Linked DNA regions of Diceros bicornis minor. The protein of the gene in region 2 interacts with the protein of the main gene of each other region in a pairwise test. Links are inferred from orthologs where the notes say so. Each region holds a gene or a part of one and is shown on either strand. Other genes may lie near its edges.

What was found. The genes of interacting proteins can lie anywhere in the genome.
Region 1: the proteins of EIF1AD (region 2) and GLYR1 interact in binary tests that used the Homo sapiens proteins (3 or more experiments, as listed by UniProt). The two-hybrid records come from large-scale screens. The link is inferred for Diceros bicornis minor from reciprocal best matches to the Homo sapiens genes EIF1AD and GLYR1.

The regions. Positions count from the first base shown.
Region 1 is NC_080765.1:43,772,058-43,779,324, forward strand, and holds the start of GLYR1 (cytokine-like nuclear factor N-PAC), read left to right. Parts: upstream 1-4,212; 5' UTR 4,213-4,232; coding exon 4,233-4,270; intron 4,271-5,284; coding exon 5,285-5,321; intron 5,322-6,270; coding exon 6,271-6,350; intron 6,351-7,267. UniProt on the Homo sapiens protein: Cytokine-like nuclear factor with chromatin gene reader activity involved in chromatin modification and regulation of gene expression. Acts as a nucleosome-destabilizing factor that is recruited to genes during transcriptional activation.
Region 2 is NC_080770.1:7,291,662-7,298,925, forward strand, and holds the start of EIF1AD (probable RNA-binding protein EIF1AD), read left to right. Parts: upstream 1-4,180; 5' UTR 4,181-4,422; intron 4,423-5,003; exon of another isoform or gene 5,004-5,022; 5' UTR 5,023-5,159; coding exon 5,160-5,246; intron 5,247-5,391; coding exon 5,392-5,500; intron 5,501-5,611; coding exon 5,612-5,720; intron 5,721-5,885; coding exon 5,886-5,936; intron 5,937-6,766; coding exon 6,767-6,911; 3' UTR 6,912-7,264. Other genes in the region: BANF1 (barrier-to-autointegration factor), read right to left, coding at 2,486-2,632, 2,870-2,992.

The DNA.
Region 1 (7,267 bases), on a different chromosome or scaffold from region 2:
TCTTTTATAAGTACTTTTTCCTGCTTCATTATCTACTGCTTAATTTTGCTTAAAGCAAGGTATGATGAAAGAAATTTTAACTTTTTATGCAGTTAAAATTAGCCTCTTCTCCCTTATGGTTTCTCCCGTTTCTTTTATGCCTAGAATGTCCTTCTCCAGCCAGGTAATTCTTGTGTAAGAATTTACCTATCCAGCCTTTTATAGATATATTTTTCACATTGAACTCTTTAACCCAAGTTGAATTTGCTCTGCTATAAGGTGAGAGATGAGGCTCTAACTTGGTTTTTCCCAGCATCAATCACTAATAATCCTTCTTTTCCCTGCTGATTTGGCATATATCATATGTAATGTCTTAGATATCTTAAGATCTATTTCTGAAATCTATCCTGTTATATTAATCTAGTATCTAGAGATTCCTCAACCAGTACCATATTGTTTTGACAAATTTTATATTTTAACATCTTGAATTAAAAATTCATCTTTCTTCTTCTTTTAAAAGTAATACTTGGGTCTTCCAACCTGTTTATCATTTCAGATCAATTTTAGAATCACTTTGACAAGTTCCCCCAAAAAACCTCACTGCATTTTGATTGTAAATGAATCATAAATATGAATTAATTCAGGAAGATTTTACATATATCATATACATCCAAATATATGTATATCTGTATATATGCAATATTCATTCTATTATGATCATAAAATTTTAATCTTTAAGATCAGATAAGGGAATAAAATATCTAAAAACGAAGAGTTAAAATAATTCTAATTAGACAGCAAAGTGATTAGCAGCAAAACAGGTTGGTGGCACAAAAGACCATCATGCATTAAAATGTTAAAAGAAATTCCCCTAAAAGAAACTTTCAAGGCCCCCAGGACATTCCTGATGCACTGGGTTATGAAAATAAGTCCCAGCTGCAAGCTGCAAGTCCCCCACTGATGAGAGCAGGCACAGCCTCACTGTAAGAGAATCTGCAAGTTAACCGATGGGATACAGGAAGGTCATCCTGGAAGCGGCAACCAGGTCCCTGCCCCTGTCTGGGCAGTAATTTAAAAATGTAACCTTAGGGCCGGCCCCGTGGCTTAGCGGTTAGGTGTGCGCGCTCCGCTACTGGCGGCCCGGGGTTCGGATCCCGGGCGCGCACCGACGCACCGCTTCTCTGGCCATGCTGAGGCCGAGTCCCACATACAGCAACTAGAAGGATGTGCAGGTATGACATACAATTATCTACTGGGGCTTTGGGGGGAAAAAAATAAATAAATAAAATTAAAATAACTGTTTAAAAAAATAAATAAAATAAAATAAAAATGTAACCTTATCTTGGCCCAAATTTTAGACATTTTAACTTCAAACCTATATGGTAAATCTGCTTCTCTTAGTTGTGGAGGTGACTTTGCCAGCCTGAGAAGTTATAGAAATAAGACTACAGAATCAAACCTACAGCATATTAACACTTAGATCTTGGATTAAGTTTTATAATCATCATGATAATTGCCGTCACTTGTTACTAAATCATTTGCAATATTTAAGAGAATCAAACATATGAATGGGGGCCAGCCTGGTGGCGCAAGCGGTTAAGTGCGCACGCTTTGCTGCAGCAGTCCGGGGTTCGCCGGCTCAGATCCCGGGCGCGCACCGACGCACTGCTTGGTGGGCCATGCTGTGGCGGCGTCCCATATAAAGTGGAGGAAGATGGGCACGGATGATAGCCCAGGGCCAGTCTTCCTCAGCAAAAAAAGAGGAGGATTGGCATCAAATGTTAGCTCAGGGCTGATCTCACAAAAAAAGAAAAAACAAAAACATATGAATGAATGACTTAGACTTACAATTTTAATTTGAAATCCTTAAGAAAATATAACTTTGAAAGTGTGCGTTTAAAAGAACCTTACATTCACACATTTATTAGCCTTACAAGAGTTAAGTCCTTGGAAAGACTTTACTACTAGCTTTATAAGTTCACCGTTCTATAAGTTTGAAGTATTTGAGAGAAAAAGCATATAAAACTTTAAATGCAGTTTAAAACACTTAAGGGAATTTAACTTTGTAAAGCGAATTCACTGTTTAGAGAAATTTAATCTGTTAAACTGACGCCTTAATCGAAGCTTTGTCAAAGATCAAGTATTTTTATTTATATAAACATTCTTAGATTTGTAAATAAAACAAGATTTGAGTAAAATTTAAAAAGCTTAAGAAAAGCTAAGTATTTAAATACTCAACTTTAATGAGTTGAACATTATTCGAAGTAAAAGCACAGTATTCTACACACAAAAACACCCCTCTTAAAAAACTCAACTGATGTTATCCAAGAAATGCTAGCCTCCTTTTGTATCTCAGAGGTTATTCCCCGGAATTGTATATTTTTTTGTTACACAACATCTTAACTACTATATTTTCAAACGGATTATTGGTGAAACAAAGAAAAGGAGAATTTTGTATACTGATTTTACAATTAGTTTCTTTACAAGTGAACTCTTATTTTAACGGTTTTCCCTTAACTTTTTTTTCAAAATAGGCTGACCTCTCATCCACAGAAATGAGAATTTTGTCTTCTCCTTTCTGAAAAATTATTTTTCTTATTTTTGTTTCACGTCTTATTACATTGGCTAGAACTTCCAGAATAATATTAGACAATATATTCTTTGCCATGTTCCTGACTAACGGGAATGCCTGTAGCCCAGTGCGATGTCAATTTAGGATTTACATATTTTTACCAAGTCATTAAAATACCCTTCCAAGTCCTCAAAAAATAAAAGTTTTTAAATTAGGAATGTGTGTTTAATTTCACTAAATTATTTTTTGGAATCTTAAACATGCTTTAAATGATCAGTTTGTCTTTAAAAAACACAAAACAGTCAATGACAGTTCCTGAAACTAACGGACGGTGTTTTAGGGAAACTGAACGCCCAAGAAAAACCAGGCTTCGAACAAGCTAGTTCGCTAAAAGCCCCTTACAACCCAAGTCTCCGCAGAACAAAACGCCTATGGGAGACGCGGGCGGACCCGCCACCTTTTCAAGCAGGATACGACCCAAGATCAGTCCGGTTCTAAGTTAACTCTTCCCTCGGACTCCCTGGAGTCTGCAACTGGCATTGGGACCTTCTAAATTTTGTTCCCTCCCTGGTGTGCGGACACTTGGGCAGGCGCTGTGCTGAACCGCCGATTACAGTTCCCATTCAGTGGCTTAGTTTTAACGTATCGAGACCGCGCCCGGCACCTGCCTTCCTGTTGTCACAACAGCCTGCGCCCAACTTCCCTCAAAGTGTCAAACTACAGCAAGGCAGACGCGAGAGCCCGGTCCCCACAAAGACACGCACCTTTGTCCCCGGCGCGACGCAGGCTACTGCCCCGCGGGCCGCACTCGTCCCCCGGCGGCCGTCCTCATGCCGGCCCGGGAGCCCGGGCTGCGGCGCCGCTAGCGGCCGGCCCCCGAGCCATGCCTCCCCGCGGGCGGCCGGCCCGCGCCGCGGCCCATGGCCGGGTCCCCGCGCGCCCGGGGGAGCCTCGCGGGCCGTGCCGCCGCGCCCGCCCAGGAGGAAGCGGAGAGACGCCGGCTCCACGTCGGCCGAGCAGCTCGCGACCTCGGGGCGGGATGCACCGGCGCCCCGGGACAACTTGCGGCGCGGACGCGGGCTCGGAGCCGCTCCCCGGACCCCGGCCGTCAGAAAGCAGCCTCCGAAGGACCCGTCGGCCCTCCGGGCGCGGCCACGTAGAGCTCGCCGGGCGCGGGGCCCCGGGCGCGGGCGGAGGCTGGCTTCCAGGCCGCGCCGAGGTCTGTCAGGGCAGCTGCCGGCGCGCCGAGGCGGCCGGCCCCGGGGCCCGCGCGAGACTAACGGCCGTAACGGAAGCGCCGAGGAGGAGGGGGCTGGAGGCCGGGACCCGGGGGCGGGGCGGGGCGGACCGCAGGGCCGGCTCCCTCGCGCTCTCGGCCGGCCGCACAGTCACTACCGCCGCCTCCACCGCCGAATCAGACCGCCGGCGCTTCGTTGTCACGAGCCGGAGGGAGGGGGAGAGGAGCCGGGAGTCTCGGGGCTCCGGCGCGCGGAGACCGCGGCTCCCGGGTCACGTGCCGCTCAGCCGGCCAATGAGCCCCGGCGGGCGCGGTGACGTCAGAGCCGCGGCGTGGCCGCTGACAGCCGGCCCCCGTCACGTGGCCGGGCGCACTCCAATGGGCGGCGCCGGGGCGCCCTGATGTTCCCGGCGGCCCGTGCGTCGGCCGTGGTTGGGTGGTAAGATGGCGGCTGTGAGTCTGCGGCTCGGCGATTTGGTGTGGTGAGTCCGGGCGGCCGGGGCCGAGCGAGGTGCGCCGCGAAGCTGCACCCCTGGGCACGGGGGTCGCCGCCAGCTTCGGAGCTGCCCTTCTATGCGCTCCAGGCCGCGAGAGAGGGCGAGACGAGGTGCCGGCGCTGGGAGCGACGCCGGGCGGAAGGGGCAGCCCGGCCCCGGGGGACTGAGGCCGAGGGTGGCCGCGGCGGGCCGGTCTCTGAGCCCCGGACCCGGACGCCGGCGGCCACGGTGGAGGGAGTGCCCGGTGCCGCGCGGCTCCTGCGGACGCCGGGTCCTCGAGGTCTTGCCCAGGCGTCTCGGAAAGCGGCAGAGTCGGGGAGCTGGCGGGGCCATCTCGCCGGGCGAGCCCGTCAAAACCCGCGTTGCGATGGAACCGACCTGTGCGGCGGCTCGGCCCGGGGTGTCGAAACCGGACTGTTGGCGCTGCCCCGTGAAGAAATGGAGGGGGGACTTCTCCTTTACACTCGGAGGCTTGGCGGGGACTAGTGCCTTTCTGGGTGCCTTCGTGGTCCGCTCGTGTGTCCCAGACAACCGCCCGAACTGAGACTGACGCTCGCCGTCTCCCTGGAGCTGCGTAGCTCGTTTCCCGACCCAGAGGAAGGCTCCCATTAGCATTTGTCAGAGCCGGGCCGTCCCGCGGTGAATTAAACCAGACTTGGCGAGGGGAAGTCTGTGTTTACAGAGCACACTGCTCCCCGCCCCCGTCCCGGGGAGGCTCTAGACAAGTGATTCTTGTGGTTTCATTATTGTGTATTTGTTGTCACCAGGAGAATGCACATACCTTATGCACATACGTTTACAATTTTGCATCCCAGCTCTGAGGGATTTGGGCCTCTTGGGCCCAGCTGTGGAAGCCAGATTAAGAACTCCTGTTTGCAAACTTGTTCTGGCACTTGAGGGTGCGAGTGGAGATTTAGAAAATAACTTGCATGTTGAGTGGGTTGAAGGAGATGGACTGGCTTTTCCAAGGCAAATGCTGATTCTCTGTGTTTTCTCTAGGGGGAAACTCGGCCGGTATCCTCCTTGGCCAGGAAAGGTGAGTGTGTTCTACTACTAGAAGCTACTACAGGAAGACATCTGAAGTTGCGTTTGAGAAGGTAGAGAATGTAAGATGCACCCGCCTCAATTTCTAGCATTGGGTCAAACTGGGCCTACTTAAATGACACTCAGAATTTTTTTTTCTCTATTATCAGTTTGTTTAGAAAAAGCAATATAATATAAACCAGGTCATTTAATCTACAGTAAATGCTTATTTCTTGAATCAGAGAGAGTTGTGGTGAAGTCTTTTAACTCTGGAAATCAATTCTAACTTGAATATAGCTTTACAGTTAAATCTAACAAAAAGAGAGGAAAATAAATTCTCCAGGAAGAGAGAAATCTAAATGTAGGTTAGTGAAAAGTCAAAGTATTTTTGTCCCAACTAAGTTTAAATCTTTCCATGTTACCATATGTGCTGCTCTCTCCAGTGCATCTTTGCAAAAGTTGGCATTCCAAATTTTGCATGAGGCGATCCGTCATAGCTTTCCAAATGTTCTGTTGTTATATTCTTGTTTGGAGCCCGGGAAATGTCTTTAGACTGTCTCTTTGCAATATGGCATTTTCAGTGCCTCGGTTGTCCTTCTTTGTCACTATTACCTGTCACAACTCTTCCTGCACACAAGTATTTTTAAGAGTGTCCTGTGTATTTCTTCAGTGATGACAAGGTCACACTGGGGGCAAATAATGTTGGTCTTAGTTGTAAATGCTTTTAAAATGCGGCCATTGCAGTAAAGGGGATATTGTATCTATTGAATGCTGTGCTACATGTTAGATGTAGGAACTTCTGGAATATTTGCATGTTTCCTCACATCATGATAAAGTGCCACATTTGGACGTGTGCTAGGCTCTGGGTTCTTTTTCAGTCATATTCCTTTTGTTTTATTTAGGTTTTTTTCTTGTTAATTTGGAGCTGTGGAAAAAAACTTTTTTTCCCTTTTATCCCCCAGATTGTTAATCCACCCAAGGACTTGAAGAAACCGCGTGGAAAGAAATGCTTTTTTGTGAAGTTTTTTGGAACAGAAGATCAGTGAGTAGTGCTCCCCAAGAGTTGCACTGTCCCTTTGTTTGAGCGTTGCCGTGGGTCTGGGCTGCTTTGAGAATATTCTAGGGACCCTAGTTCCTTCTTACTGTAGTGTATAAGAATGGCATATCATTCTGGCTTCTTACCTAAATATAAAGTGCTGTTCTTATCTCGCAGAAATTGTCTTGGGGCCAATAACAATGTCAAGTGAGAATGAGGGTTCACCATCTTCTACATATGGTAATCATGTTGAGATAGTTTCTTACATCTCTTTACCCAACTTCATAGGCAGTTCCTATTATAAGGGCCATGTTTGTTTCTCTTTTTAATGGCTGTTTATCATGTGGCTCATGCATAACGTATACAGCGAAAACTAAAATTTTATTTACCTTAATAAAAGTAGTGGGGCCGGCTCCGTGGCTTAGCGGTTAAGTGCGCGCACTCTGATGCTGGCGGCCCGGGTTCGGATCCCGGGCACGCCCCAAGGCACCACTTCTCCGACCAACCCGAGGCCAAGTCCCACGTACAGCAACTAGAAGGATGTGAACCTATGACATACAACTATCTACTGGGGCTTTGGGGGGAAAAAAATGAATAAATAAAATCTTTAAAAAAATAAAAAATAAAAATAAAAGTAGTTGTTTGATTCTGTTCTCTTTTGTGAAATTAGATGACTTGCTCTAACATTGTAACAGTAAAGCTTTTTAACCAGATCTGTCTTAGAGTTGAAATCAGGACCATCAATTTGAGATTCTTTGATAGGCCATATAACTTACAGTCAGGGAGAGAATGTGTATTTACTTAAGTTTCTGGTGATTTGTTTAGCTGTCTCATCACTACATCAATTTGATTACTTGGGTCTAGCTAGATGGTTTGATTTCTTTAAGTAGTTGTATTTCTATTTTTGACTCTTACAGGAAAAT
Region 2 (7,264 bases):
ACAAATCGCATAATTGCTGTATCCCCAGGTCTTTATTTTTGATTTCCCTTTTATCCTTCTACCATTCTGCGATGTAGCTAACAGACAAAAAAGTACACAGAACACGTCTGTTCTCTTTTAACAGACGGAGTCAACGCCTGTGGTACCACCACTCATCACTCCGGCCTCCCCCCAAAAGGTCATCACTGCCACTCTGTTTCTTTACCTTTGACTTTTGCAATAAACATTTCATTTTTCTAGTTTTACCACCTGTGTAGCAATCTCCAAGCAAGAATTCACTTGTTAACTTTACATGAAGGGGATCAGACGATGTGATGGCTTGTTTCATTCGCTTGAGGTTGGGATTCACCGGTTGTCCACAGCTCTCACCTGTTCCTCTTCACTGGTATTGATAGGCTGACATAAGAAGGCCGCTGCGAACGTTCACACGGGTGCTGGTGCAGGTACGTGTCCTCGGTCACAGCCCCCGGAGTGGAACTGCTGCGTCACAGGGTGGGTCTTATCTTCATTTTTACTAGAAAACGCCCGAATGTTTTTTCCCAAGTGTTCATACCAATCTACACTCCCACCACCTGGCTCTCAGTTCCTCTTGCTCTGTTCCCTCATCAGCACAGGGCATTGTCTAAATTTTTGCCAGTCCAGTGAGTGTATAATGGCATCTCATTTGCATTTCTGATTACTAATACAATCCAGCACCTTTTCATAGGCTTATTCACCATATGGGTATCCACTCTGGCTGCCTTGTGGGTCTTCTACCCACTTTCCTATTGTGTTGTCTGCTTTTTCTTGGCTACAGACCTTTGTTATCTTTGGGTGTTGCAAAGCTCCTTCCCCACCCTGGGTTGACAAGTCTCCTCGCTCTCTTTATGGTATCTTTAGACGAGCGAAGTTTCTATTAACGGAGTTGAATTTATCAACTTTTTAGTTTTTGCCGAGGAAGATTGTCCCTGAGCTAACATCTGTGCCCATTTTCCTCCACTTCATGTGGGACACTGCCACAGCACGGCTCGATGAGCGGCGTGTAGGTCCGTGCCCAGGATCTGAACCCGCAAACCCCTGGCCGCTGAGGCAGAGCAAGTGAACTCAACCACTCTTCCACTGGGCCAGCCCCTATCAACTTTTTCTTCTTAATTTTTCCCTACTCTGAGATCATGAAAATTTTCTCATATTAGTCCAATTTTTGTATTTAACATCTGTCATTCTCTCCTCAGCAGACTTAAGCCATCTAAAGAAAATTCTGTAAGAAAATTCTCAACGATGCTCTGCTGAAGGAATGAAAGCCAAGCAGGCCTGGGTGCCCACAGCTAGCATCTCACCTGATCTTTACCACCACCTCATTTCCCAAGTGGGGAAACTGAGGCTCAGAGAGGAAGAGTGACAGGACTAAGGAACACAGGGCTCTCAGGTACATGGGCTTCCAAGTTACTTTCTGAGGGCCAGCCTGGCTACTTCCTAAGCAGTAAGTCCATGGACAAATCACTTAGACTCTCTGAGCCCCTCACTTCCTCACCTGTACAAGAGAAAACACTTTCTTATTGTGGAAGAAAAAATGTTTGCAAAGATCTTAGTTGTGAGCCTAGTTCATACTAAGTGTTCAACAAAGAACAGGATGAAAATGTACCAAATGAAAGTGTAACTCACTTGAGCCCCCAGCTGTGATGCCCATGCTCTTTCTGCCTCCCTACGAGAGCAGGACAACCAGCAAGAGCACTGCCCACTCCTCCAGAGGCCAGGAGAGCACATGAGGATGGGCAGGGGAACTCTTACCCATTCTTAGCTGGTCCACCCTCTTCCTGCCACCTCTCACTCCCACTGACTTTTCCTCCAGGTGCTGCCTAGCCCAGCTGTTGACTCCACTGACATCTGGAACACCACAGCCCATATGGATCCCAGGAAGAATCAACCCACACCCTCTCCCACATCACTAAGGGATTGAGACACTCCGAGGCACCTGCTGGAGGCCCACGTGGCTGGGGCGGCTGCCCTCCAGGCTGGGAAGGAAGCTGCTACTTTCAACCTGCGCTGATAAGGAGGGCAGCACACCTGGTCAGTCTCTGGTGAAAAGGCGACTCCCAGCCCACCTGCTGTTCACACACGAAGCCCAGTCATGAAGGCCACTGACTTTATTGATTTAAAAAACTCTGTAAGGACAGTGACTGTTCTGCCAAAAAACGAGCCAAATGGCATAAAACAGACCACAGGTGAGGGTGGGAGTGAGGATAGGGGCCAGGAATCCACTCAGAAAAGCTGGTAATTGTCAACATGAAACTGGCAGGGGAAGGGGAAGGCAGGTGCATGCAACAGCAAGATTTCCAAAAAAGTTGAAATGGTGAAGGGAGAGAACTCCCCAAAGACTCGAGTACATCGGAGGTGAGACACAACAGCAACCTTTTCCTTTGTAGAGGACGGGAGAGGAGTCCCCACTTGGCTGCAAACTCTGCAGACTCAAGGCTAGGGCTGGGGTTTGGGGGCTCTGTGGGGAGCATCACAAGAAGGCGTCGCACCACTCTCGCAGGCACCCAAAGCAGTCCCGGGACTGCTTGGCGTTGGCGCCGCACGTGTCCTTCAGCCATTCCCGGAAGAGGTCTTCATCTTTCTTTAGCACCAGAAACTGGCCAAGGACCACGTAGGCCTACAAAACAGGCAAAGAGGAAATGCCATTAAGTACTCTGTGGGACTAAGAATAAGACCCTTAGTGTGGCATCAAAGCACAGGAGCCTGGAAGGCAGGGCAGGCTCTGCCTATGTCTTCAGCTTACACACCCCCAACAAGTACACTCACATTCCTCACTCCCAAACTACAAGAAACATTGCAGGCTGTCCCCTACCCGGCCCCCAGCCCTCCCCAGGTGCACGCAACCACCCCACACCTTGTCAAAGCCCCTTTCCTCCAGCTTCTTGCCCAGGACTTCACCAATCCCGGCCAAGCTCCCCACTGGCTTTTCCCCCATGGGTTCTGCCACGAAGTCTCGGTGCTTTTGAGAAGTTGTCATCTTGATCAGGCTGAATCTGGGAATCCCAAGAAAAAGTAGGTTAGGGCTGAAAACCTGGGCACTCCAGAAAGCCCATGAGCAATCTCATTAAGAGGAAGCTGGACCAGCCATGATGGTGGTTTTACTCGAGTCCCCTCATTTCACGGATGAGAAAACTGAAACCAAGGAAATTCTTTTCCCCACTGTTCAAGAGAAATCTCTTCCACTCCCCGTGGGAACTGGGTTTTGGTATTGCTCCAGAGGAAAATCTATCTTGCCCTAACAGGTGGCGCGCGCGGAGCAGTGGGAAGAGTCCCAGGGTGAGTAGCCAGGGGCCGCCCTGAGGCTGTCACTCCCTCTGTGACCTTGGCTGGGCAAAGAAGACACTGGTTGTACCTGGACCGGCTACCTGCTCTGAAAAACAAACGAGTGGTCGGTCTGCCCCACACGCCCCACAGCGCTCACAGGGCGCAGGCGCAAGCCGGAGCGCGCACACCCGCTCCTCCAGCCCCGCGGCCCGCCTGGGCTCCCGCCCCGTCCGCCCGCCGTGCTGGCTCCGCCCCCAGCGCGCCGCCCCGCCCCCTCCGCGCGCCTACGCGCCCACGCGCCGCCCCGCCCTCTCCCTGCATCGCGGCCAAGCTATCTGCGAGGGCGCATCTTCCGTCCCGCCTGGCACATGCGGCCCCTTCCCTCCTCTCTTCCCCGCGCCTCCTCTGGCCTCCAGCCCAGGCCCCGCTCAGCAGCTCGTGCTCACCCGCGGCTCCCGTTCCCGTAACGGCTCCTCCCGCCACCGGCTGCTCCCGCCGCTACCTCAACCCACTAGAACTTTCTTCCACTTCCGCTTCCGGGTCGCCTCAAGAGCCGCCTTAAAAAAAAAAAATCTAAATTGGGCACTTCTAGCCGCCTAGAGCCATAGAGATGAGGCGCTCCGGAGCTCGACGGTGCCTTTAGTAGGCGCTTCTTTCTGGTCGCTTCGCGGGAAGCGGGGGTCCTTTCTATGATCTCGCTTCTGGGACAGCATTTCCGGTCTCGGGGAGCGGAGGCCTCGGAGGAGAAAACTTCATTTCCTCGCTGCCCGGCACCCGGAACTCTAGGACTTAGCCTCGGCCGACCTGGCGGGGGGAAGAGTTAGAGAGACGGACAAGGGCCGGGGGGGGGGGGGGGGTGGCCGAGAGCTTCCGAGAGCGCCGGAAGTACGGTGCTCGGAAGGGACCGACGCAGGCTGACTCGCGTTGTCGTCGTCGGCGTCGGGCTTGTAGGAGTCTGGAGGGATGCGGAGGTGCGGGAGACCTGAGTCCGAGTCGACACCACCGTCGTGACCGCCGGCAAGTCCCTTTTCTGTGCCTTCCTTGGCTCAGCTGCCAAGTGTGTCGTGGAGGAACCGCTCTTAGCCTCCAGCCTGGAGAAACGGGGTCGTTCAGGCAGCACTCGTGGGAGACGAGGGCCAGAGAGTAAGTGTGGGTCTCTCTCTGAGCGTCTTTCCTGCGGGATAGGGAGGGAGGAGGGGTGGGAGGGCAACTAGAGGTGACACTTCGGAGTTTCGTTTGGAAGCCATCGATCTTGGTGGTACCAGTGCTTGTCTTCTCAGTAGCCAAGTCACAAATATCGCAGATGCCGCAGACCAAGCCGGCTCACCCTGACCTTCAGTTAATTCATTCTTAGCTTGGACTATCGCGATGGTCTCCCGCCTGGTCTCTACCTGTAATGTGTTGAGAGATTGAGCATCTGTGTTGTGTGGCTATGCTATGCCTGTAATGTACAAGCGTGCTGAGAACGATGCGATTTATCTCATCCTCCTTCCCGAGCTGTTACCAGAATGATTTATTACTCTAGAACACGTAGGTTTTATGATTATGCTAGTACTTACAATATGAGTTGTTGTATGTGTCGTACACCATGCTAAGGGCTCTCTTGTCATTTTCTCCTAACAGTAATGCTTTGCGTTAGCTATTATTTTTTTTTTGAGGCCTAGGGAAGTTGAACACCTAGGAATAGCCAAGATAGGGTTTGAATCGAAGCAATTGGATTTCAGAGGCGACATTCTTAACCAGGACGCTGTGTCACTCCTCAGTAAAAGGCTCCTCCTCATCTTCAAAACAGTTCTGGGTTCTGAGCCTGCCGTCCAAGAAACTCAGAAGGAGGAGTTGACAGTCTCTGCGTCCCTCACCTGCCTGGGACAGGACCCGGCATGTCTCAGGCCACCAAGAGGAAGCATGTGGTGAAGGAGGTGCTGGGGGAGCACATGGTGCCCTCTGATCAGCAGCAGATCGTGCGGGTGAGTGGCATTGGGCACAGGCTGCTCTGCCCACTACTCCTCCACTCCCATTGGGCCCCTGGGGTGAGAGCAGGGTGCACTGTAGCTCAGAGGGTGTTCAAGCTGGCTGATCAGCCTGACTGGTTCTTGGTCTCTCCTGGACCAGGTACTCAGGACCCCAGGGAACAATCTGCATGAAGTGGAGACAGCCCAGGGGCAGCGCTTCCTGGTAAGCATGCCTTCCAAATACCGCAAGAACATCTGGATCAAGAGAGGTGAGAGAGGCAGCTCTGGGGGGGGCGAGGGGCGGGCAGAACCATTTTCGTTGCCTTTGGCTTTCCCCACTGCCAGCAGGACTGACTGTCTTTTCTCCTCTTGGTGGACAGGGGACTTTCTCATTGTTGACCCTATTGAAGAGGGAGAAAAGGTGAAGGCTGAGATCTCCTTTGTGCTCTGCAAGGACCATGTGCGCTCTCTGCAGAAGGAGGGGCTCTGGTAGGGCAGGCCCCTTGGTCTTTCTGGCTTCTGGGAGGATTGACTTCCTAGCTGTGGAACTGGGGGAGGGAAGATCATGGCATCCCAGGCGGGGACAGCTGGAAACAGCCTTTTGGCTGAAAGATTTCTCTTTCCTTTTTGACTCTGGCTCTTCTCTTGGCACAGGCCTGAGGCCTTCTCTGAAGTGGCTGAGAAACACAACAACAACAGGAACAGGTGAGGAACAAGCCTTGGGATAGGGAGGACAGAAAATAGGGGTTCAGGCCTTGGTGTCTTGAGGGAAAAATAGAGCTTTCCTTTCTCCCTACATAGGGTTCCTGGTGAGAACTCTTAAACGTGTGCTATAATATATGGTTATGAGCATGGCTTGAAAGTCAGAGGCCCTGGGTTAAAATCTTAGCTTTGCCACTTATAACTGAGTGACTTGAAGCAGCTTACTTAATCTCTTAAGCCTCAATTTCATCACCTTTAAAATGGGAGCTTTGGGGCCGGCCCAGTGGCATAGTGGTTAAGTTCACGCGCTCCCCTTCAGCAGCCCCGGGTTCACAGGTTTGGATCCTGGGCGCAGACCTACACACTGCTCATCAAACCATGCTGTGGTGTCCCATATACAAAATAGAGGAAGACTGGCACAGATGTTAGCTCAGGGACGATCTTCCTCAAGCAAAAACAGAAAGATTGGCAACAGATGGTAGCTCAGGGCCGGTCTTCCTCACTGAAAAAAAAAGAGGGTTGGGGGGAGCTTTGTGAGGGTTAAAGGAATCAGTGTTTATGAAATTGCTTAGTATAGTACGTGGTATATAATGTGGGTCCACTGAGAGTCAGTGGTGGTAGAATGGTTGTTATTAAAACCTGTGGGTCTAGCAAACTTTTGAGGGGGGTTGGGAGGTAGTCTTTAGGCTGTTTTTGCTCTGCCTCTCTCTTTGTCTGATTTGCGGAGCCCTGGCTGCTTGGCCATGTGGTCCTCCTTTTTGTGGGCCTCCTTTATTGCAGATCTGGTTTCCCCAGAAGGCATTGGGCTAACTCTTTCTTTTTTCCCCATGTAGACAGACTCAGCCAGAACTCTCAGCTGAGCCGCAGTCATCAGGAGAAGAGTCCAGCTCTGAAGACGATTCCGACCTCTTTGTTAACACCAACCGCAGACAGTATCATGAGAGTGAGGAGGAAAGCGAAGAGGAGGAGGCGGCCTGAGACCCCAGAACCCACTTTTCCTCTTGCTCAGAGACTCTTTGGCTCCTCTGAGCATGGACATTCCCAGGGTGCTCTGCAGGTCTTCCCCACTGGGTGGGGACAAGGCAGAGCCCCTCTCTGAACTGACCTTCTGACCCAGGAGAATTAAACCCCTGGTGGGTGGTGACTTGTGCTGGTGTCCGAGTCCCTTTCTGGAGGGAAGAGGGACTTGTGATGAAGTTGAAACCTGCTCCTTGGTGGAGGCCTCACGAGCAGGTGGGCTGAATGGGCAGGAAATGGGGAATAGCTGGAATTTTCCTAGGTTCTTTCTGTCTCATTGGGCACTTAGAAGGTGCCAGGCCCTGTACTGTGGC